Notamacropus eugenii: one gene and its partner. The protein of the gene in region 1 interacts with the protein of each later gene in a pairwise test. Links are inferred from orthologs where the notes say so. Each region holds a gene or a part of one and is shown on either strand. Other genes may lie near its edges.

Region 1 (3,743 bases):
TTTTCTATTCCTAGTATCCAAGTTGACGTTCACCCTCAAAGCCACCTTGTAGTCCTTAATTCCTGTCTTAGTCCACATAGCCCATCAATGATTGTCTTCTTTCTACTTCTCACAACAATCCCTTTATCTCCATTCACCCTTGCAGGGGCTTTTCTACCTCTCACCCAGACTTTTATCAATAGCTTAACTGGCCTCCCTGCCTTACATCTGTCTTCTACATAACTGCCAAAGTGATTTTCTCAGAGCACAAGTCAAACCATGCCATTCTTTTTTCAATAAATTCCAGTGGCTCCCTGTTGGACCACATGTCCAAAGATTATGTTTTTTAAATGTATATTTTTGTATAAGTTTTATTATGCATATGTTATCACAGTGGTAGGGGTATAGGGACTGGTTTCCATTGTCATGGGGAATTTTGGGGTAAGGAAATTCCTTCCAGTGCAGGCTGACATGTTGGCAATTTGTAGCCTTATAGTGTCCTAAACTAGGGCACTCCAATATTATGTGACCTACCTATTAGGTAGGTAGACTCATAGCTGCCATGAGTCAGGACTTGAATGACTCTTATCTTCTATACCATTGTTTCAGTGGTGTACAACTGTTTGTGCTCCAATTTGGGATTTTCTTGGCAAAGCTACTGGAGTGGTTTTCCATTTCCTTCTCCAGCTCATTTTACAGATGAGGAAACTGAGGCAAACAGGGTTAAGTGACTTGCCCAGGGTTCCACAGCTAGTTGGTGTCTGAGGCTGGATTTGAACTCGTCTTCCTGACTCCAGGCCTGGTACTCTATCCACTGTGCCACCTAGCTGCCCTTACACATTATGCATCTCCATATAAATAAATTTATATAGAGAACAGGTTGGGACTATGTACTTAAACATTTTTAACTGGCAAGCTGCATGATATCAAAAGGTTTGGAGATCATTGGTCTAGTCCATGTGTCCAAACATTGTTGACTGATGAGGTGTGTGATATAACCAAGTTTTGGAGACCGCTGATGTAGTGTCTAAGGGGAAAAGATCGGAGTCTGGAGGCAGGGGCCAGGCACCTGGACAGGTCCACTAAGCTCTCTCGGCCCCAGTTCCTTCCTAGGGGCCTTCCCTCCTTTTTCTTTACTGCATGTTATTCCAGGTGGCACACCGGATAGCGCAGCAGACCCAGGATCAGGAGCGAGCCTGCGCGGCCGGGCTGCACTTCCCACCCGCCCGCTGTCCTAGCTCCCGCTTTGCGGACTGGTCTGTGAAATGGCCACACTGGCCTACAAGGCGGATCGCCCACGTGACGTCCGCCTTCCGGGCCAGGATTTCGCAGAGAGGGGCTGAGTCTTGTCCAAGTTTGTTCTGCTCCAGAGCTGTGAGGAGGCACGTCGTGCATCTTCTGGGCACGGTGCAGAGAGGCAAAGGGGCGTCCGCCTGCGGCCTGGGACCGGAGACTCTGCGGCCGACCGACAGGGGGCGGCAGAGCGCTGGCCAAACTCGCGAGCCTGGCGGCCTCCGTAGAAGAAAGGAGACAGGGGGAAAAAGGGCAGCTGGGCCCCCGTCGCCACGTGACCGGCAACACTTCCGGTCCTTCCCCGTCTCTCTTCCCCCGCCTCACTTCCTCGGCTAGCCGGGATCGCGCGGAGCCCCCGGTGAGCCGAGGACGGGCCGGGTGGCCTGACCCTGACTTCCAGCCTCCCCCAGAGGGCGCATGGAGGGCTCCCCGGAGGAGGAGGGAGGGGACAGGCCCGGGCCGCGACCGCCCCCGGGAGCTGTGGACGCCGTCCTCAGGCACAGCTCGACGCTGCCCGCGGAGGCCGTCCAGGTACGGGGCTACGACTTCAACCGCGGCCTGGACTATGGCGCTCTCCTACGAGCCTTCGCCACCACCGGCTTCCAGGCCACCAGCTTCGGCCGCGCCGTGCAGCAGGTCAACGCCATGGTGAGGGGGCGGGGCTGGGGAGGTGGGGCAGGTCGGAGCCCTGCTAAGGGAGGCGGGGCTAGGGCAGAAGAGGAGGTCAAAGCGGGTGGGAGCGGGGCTGGGGAGAGCAGGTCCCAGGCATGGGGCGGGGGAGGAGGCGGGGTTGGGGAGAGCTGGTCCCAGGCTTGGGGAGGGGGAGGAGGCGGGGATGGGGAGAGCTGGTCCCAGGCTTGGGGAGGGGGAGGAGGCGGGGATGGGGAGAGCAGGTCCCAGGCTTGGGGAGGGGGAGGAGGCGGGGCTGCGGAGAGCTGGTCCCAGGCTTGGGGAGGGGAGGAGGCGGGGCTGGGGAGAGCTGGTCCCAGGCTTGGGGAGGGGAGGAGGCGGGGCTGGGGAGAGCAGGTCCCAGGCATGGGGAGGGGAGGAGGCGGGGCTGGGGAGAGCTGGTCCCAGGCTTGGGGAGGGGGAGGAGGCGGGGATGGGGAGAGCAGGTCCCAGGCTTGGGGAGGGGGAGGAGGCGGGGCTGGGGAGAGCAGGTCCCAGGCTTGGGGAGGGGGAGGAGGCGGGGCTGGGGAGAGCTGGTCCCAGGCTTGGGGAGGGGGAGGAGGCGGGGCTGGGGAGAGCAGGTCTCAGGCTTGGGGAGGAGAGGAGGCGGGGCTGGGGAGAGCTGGTCCCAGGCATGGGGAGGGGAGGAGGCGGGGCTGGGGAGAGCAGGTCTCAGGCTTGGGGAGGGGAGGAGGCGGGGCTGGGGAGAGCAGGTCCCAGGCATGGGGCGGGGGAGGAGGAGGGGCTGGGGAGAGCTGGTCCCAGGCTTGGGGAGGGGGAGGAGGCGGGGCTGGGGAGAGCTGGTCCCAGGCTTGGGGAGGGGGAGGAGGCGGGGCTGGGGAGAGCTGGTCCCAGGCTTGGGGAGGGGAGGAGGCGGGGCTGGGGAGAGCAGGTCCCAGGCATGGGGAGGGGGAGGAGGCGGGGCTGGGGAGAGCAGGTCTCAGGCTTGGGGAGGGGAGGAGGCGGGGCTGGGGAGAGCAGGTCTCAGGCTTGGGGAGGGGAGGAGGCGGGGCTGGGGAGAGCAGGTCTCAGGCTTGGGGAGGGGAGGAGGCGGGGCTGGGGCAGACGAGTAGGTCAAGGTGGGGGCCCTAGAAAGAGAGGAGGATAAGGCAGGACGGGTCAATGCCAAGGGGTTTGGGAGAGGAGTGAGTGAGGGAAGAGCGATAAGGGAGGGCCGGCGCTGGGGGAGCCAGCCTCAGACTTTGATGTCTGTGGGTCCGAGGTGAGGACCTGGGAAGAGAGCACGACCCAACCCAGGGGTAAAGGGGCATTACAGATTTAGGGAGATTGCTGCCAGGGCGAGGCCTAAGGGGGCAGCGGGACGCTGAGGAGACCGTCAAAGCACGAGAGAAGCTGTCGGCAGCAAGGGCCCTGCGTCAGTGCCACCTTGGGTGGTGAACAAGTATTGAGATGCTAAAAAAAAAGATGCTGTAGTGTGTCACTGTGTGCACCTCTGCCCAGTTGGAATCTAAGGGATCCAGTCAGGAAACAAATTCAAGTTCCCCTTCGTAACCTTAGGCTGGTCTTTTATCTTCACTAGGCTTCAGTTTCTGAGTCTCTTGAACGATTCAGGAACTATAATCTTTGAGTGGGCCCTGTGTCCCAGCAAGCCCAGGTTTTAGGTTTGGAGAGAGATCACTGTCACTCCACCTTCTCTCCCAGATTGAGAAGAAGCTGGAACCTCTTGGGGGGGAGGAGGAAGACCACACAGATCTGAACCCAAGCCGTCGGTCAGTGAGTGGCTGCACCATCTTCTTGGGCTACACGTCAAATCTCATCAGCTCTGGTGTCCGAGAGACCAT
Region 2 (3,743 bases), on another chromosome or scaffold:
AGAGACGGAATGCCAGGTGGGGGAGGGGCGTGAAGAACATAGCTAGATATTGATGTATTAACTATGTGCCAAGCCTTTTGCTAAATGCTGGGGATATAAATACACACAAGCAGGTCAGTCAGAGTTCCCTTAGGTGAGCGCCTTCTTTATGAGATTCCCTCCAAAGTATCTTGCATGGATCTTGCACACAAAGTTACTTGTGAGATGTCGCCCCACCACACCCCATTGAACTGTTAACTCTTTGAGATCAGGGATGAGTCGTGCCTTTCTTTGTAGCCTCAACTCTTATACTGTGCCTGGCAGATACTAAGAGCTGGGTAACACATGGAGCTTATGTCCTAACGGGGAATGACAATGCCTCACTGGGAACTAGAAGGTGATGGAGAAGATACTGCTGGGGGCCATGCCACAGGAAACGATTGCTAATCATCTACAGGCAACTATGTTAAGCACCGGGGATCGATCCGAAGGAAGGCAGAATTTTACAGTTCCTGCCCTCAAGGGGTTCCCAATCTAGTGAGGAAGACAGTATGCCAACAAATAAGGGTAAAATAAACTGGTGGTCATCTACAGAAGGAACGAGCTAGCCATGGGGGATTGGAAAAAGAAGGATTTTAGTTGGAACCAGAAACGTCGAGGAGGAAGGAGGAGAAGGGGAAAGGAGGGGGTGGTGGTGGTGGAGGTAGGAGGGTCAGGCAGCGGGAGGGCTTTTGAAAACAGCCGAGAGGCTGGCATCGGGGGTCTCCAGGTACAAGGTAAGGTGTGACAGACTGAGGGAGGGGCCAGGCTGTGGCAGGCTCTCGATTGGGGCCCCTAGAGGTTACTGAGTGGCGGGGACGAGGGGGGCGCCAGGTGCGCTTTAGGAGGATCGCTCCTCTGGACTAGTGGGGAGAGTCTGGAGGCAGGGAGGCCGAGCGGGCCGAAGGCCACGGCGGGGAGTCACAGAGCGGGGGTTTCCTTAGGTGGGACAAGAGGCCGTTTTGGGAGGGAGGCCATCTCCCAGGCGGCAGGACACGCTGTCTGCAGAGAGGGAGACCAGTGCACGCCGCTGCCATGGCAACAGGCGCTCCGCCCCCTCCCGACCCCCCGCCGCGCATCGTCACGTGCCGCGAACCCTACCCCCTCCGGGGGGCGTGGCTTCTTCGAGGAATAGTTGACAGACCAGGATGGCGGAGCCAACTGAGAGGAGAGCTCATGGCTCGGGATCTCGATGGAGTCGGGTGGGTCCCGCCTAGGAAGTCACCTGAGCCTGCGGGGGCCGCCTGTGTAAGGCCCCCAGACTGGAAATGGGCTGTTTGAAGGCACGTGGGGTTGCCAAGCTTTCTTCACGTGACTGGGCGGGGCTGGAGTCTCCTCAGCCAATGGTGGCCTAAGAGGGCGGTGCCTTCGACGCGCCAAGGACCTATCAGGGAAAGGGGGAGTGATGTGCGGGCGGGGGAGTAGAAGAGAGGGCTGGCTTGGGGGGAGGGGGCGGGGAAAGTGCTTGCCGGGCCCCGCCCCGTCTGCTGAAGCCTCCTCGCATCCGCGGCCGCCGCTGCCGCCGCAGTGGATGATCAGGCTCCTTGAGCGCGGGCAGAGCCTCCGCCGCTGGCTGGAAGGTGAGCGCCGGGAGTTCGGCGGGGACTCGGGCGGGGGGCGCTGACGGAGCATCTCGGGGCAGGGGAGGGTCCCTGCGGCGCGCGCCCCCCGGGGCCGGGACCAGGACCGGAGCCTCGCGCCAGGTAGCGGCGGGGGAGTGGGGAGCGACGCGCGCTCCAGGGCCGGCGTATCGGGGGCATGCGCGTCCCCGCGAGGGGGGGAGGGGAGCGGCGCGCGCCCCGGGCGGGGGGGAGGGGGCAGGTGGGCGCAGGTGGAGCCCGGGGCGGGGAGGCCGGTCACGATTCTCACGATGGGAAAGTTTCCGAGCGGAGCCCCCCCCAGCGCCCCTCCCCCCTGCCCAGATCCCGCCGCAGGAGGACCACCGCCCCGACCCGCCATGGCCGACGAGATCGACTTCACCACCGGAGACGCCGGGGCTTCCAGCACGTATCCGATGCAGTGCTCGGCCCTGCGCAAGAACGGCTTCGTGGTGCTCAAGGGCCGGCCCTGCAAGATCGTGGAAATGTCCACTTCGAAGACGGGCAAGCACGGCCACGCCAAGGTGACCGCGCCCGCCCGCCGCCCGGCCCAGCCCGGGCCGCCCCCTCCTCCCCAGCCGGGCCTCCCGGAACCCCGCCTGCCCGCGGAGCCGGAGGGTCCGTGAGGTTGGGACCCACGTGCGGCAATGCCAGTCCTTGAGACCGGGCTGCTGCGGGCATGCCGCTGGTAGTTCGCTGGAGTTAGGAACCTGCGCTCACACCCTGGCGTGGACCATGGCGATGCTTGGTTAAGCGGCTGCTCTATTTCAGGCTGTGCTAAGCCCTGGTGGGGATACAAAGAAAGGAAAAAACAGCCCCTGCCCTCCGAGAGCAGTGTGCAGACCACTCTGCACAAACAGGAATGCTATCTGTATGAGCTCAGGCAAGCGGCTTTTACTTACCCGGGCCTCTGTTCTTCATCTCTGAAAGGAGGGTCTCCCAGTACCCTTTCGGCTCTAGATCTGGGACCCTCATTGGTCTCCCTGCCCCCCAGAAAGTCATCTTCCTGAATCCTAAGTCTGACCTTGTTACTTCCTACTTAGTGTAAGCACCAAGGCTGCCCTTCACCTTGTGAGGACCTGATGCCCACCGGCCCTTTGAGCTTTCTCATGGGTGACTCTTTGCAGCACTCCTGAGATCTACCCTAGTGGGCTTTCCTGCTGCGCTTCTCCTGATAGTCCCTGTCCCTGCCCTTTGCACACTCTGCCCCCCTGCCTCCTTGACCACTTTTATCTCCTCCTTCACCATCTTTGAAGCTTCACAGCTCAGCTCAGAGGCCTTCTTTTATCCCACATCCCTACCCCCCATCTGCCAGTGCCGGTTCTCCAAGATTAACTTGTATTTCTTTTGTATTTACTGTATCCTCTGATGGAACATAAAACTCCTTGAGTGCCAGGACAGTTGCATTTTTGTGATAGTATCTAATGTGCCCGTGTTGGGGGGTGGGGTCTCATTTTTTTCTTAAAGATAACATTTTGTTTTTGAGAGACGAAAATCTCAAACAGAATTGATATTTTGCTCTTAAAGTAATTTAGGTATTGGACTGGACAAAAATTTAACACGCTTACTTTATGCATTAGGTTCACTTGGTTGGAATTGATATTTTTACGGGCAAAAAGTACGAAGATATTTGCCCTTCCACTCACAACATGGATGTTCCAAATATCAAGAGAAATGATTATCAAGTAAGTAATTTCCTCTCAATAGATTTTTTCCCTTTATTACACACATGGTTTGTTACAAGTTGTATAAGCCAGAGTGCTTTTATTCATCTCTTGCTTCTAAATAAGAAGAAGGAAATATAAGGAAAATATTCATTGTAGATACTGGAAGGAGAGAGAGTGATTTTCATATTTCTGCAGTAGAGTTAATGGTGACATTTTTAAAATTACTTTCACTTTGTAAAAATGTGAATTGTCATTTTAAAACATTAGTAAGGTACAGAACAAGTGATGATGATTGCTCTTGAAATGGTTTGTTGAAGTGTGTGGGTCCAAAGTTCCATAAAGTTAATGAAACCACTACTTTGTGCTTGCTACAAAACCTCCAGATTTCATAGGACAAGGTACCTCCACTGCACTTGAGAAGCTTTATTTTTGATCTGGTTGGCTAATCACAAGTGCAGAT

Evidence for each region.
Region 2: the proteins of DHPS (region 1) and EIF5A2 interact in binary tests that used the Homo sapiens proteins (3 or more experiments, as listed by UniProt). The two-hybrid records come from large-scale screens. The link is inferred for Notamacropus eugenii from reciprocal best matches to the Homo sapiens genes DHPS and EIF5A2.

Annotation. Positions count from the first base shown.
Region 1 is NC_092875.1:78,235,894-78,239,636, forward strand, and holds the start of DHPS (deoxyhypusine synthase), read left to right. Parts: upstream 1-1,526; 5' UTR 1,527-1,689; coding exon 1,690-1,920; intron 1,921-3,603; coding exon 3,604-3,743. UniProt on the Homo sapiens protein: Catalyzes the NAD-dependent oxidative cleavage of spermidine and the subsequent transfer of the butylamine moiety of spermidine to the epsilon-amino group of a critical lysine residue of the eIF-5A precursor protein to form the intermediate deoxyhypusine residue.
Region 2 is NC_092877.1:353,271,687-353,275,429, forward strand, and holds the start of EIF5A2 (eukaryotic translation initiation factor 5A-2), read left to right. Parts: upstream 1-1,464; 5' UTR 1,465-1,549; coding exon 1,550-1,598; intron 1,599-1,661; exon of another isoform or gene 1,662-1,721; intron 1,722-1,940; coding exon 1,941-2,140; intron 2,141-3,196; coding exon 3,197-3,301; intron 3,302-3,743. UniProt on the Homo sapiens protein: Translation factor that promotes translation elongation and termination, particularly upon ribosome stalling at specific amino acid sequence contexts.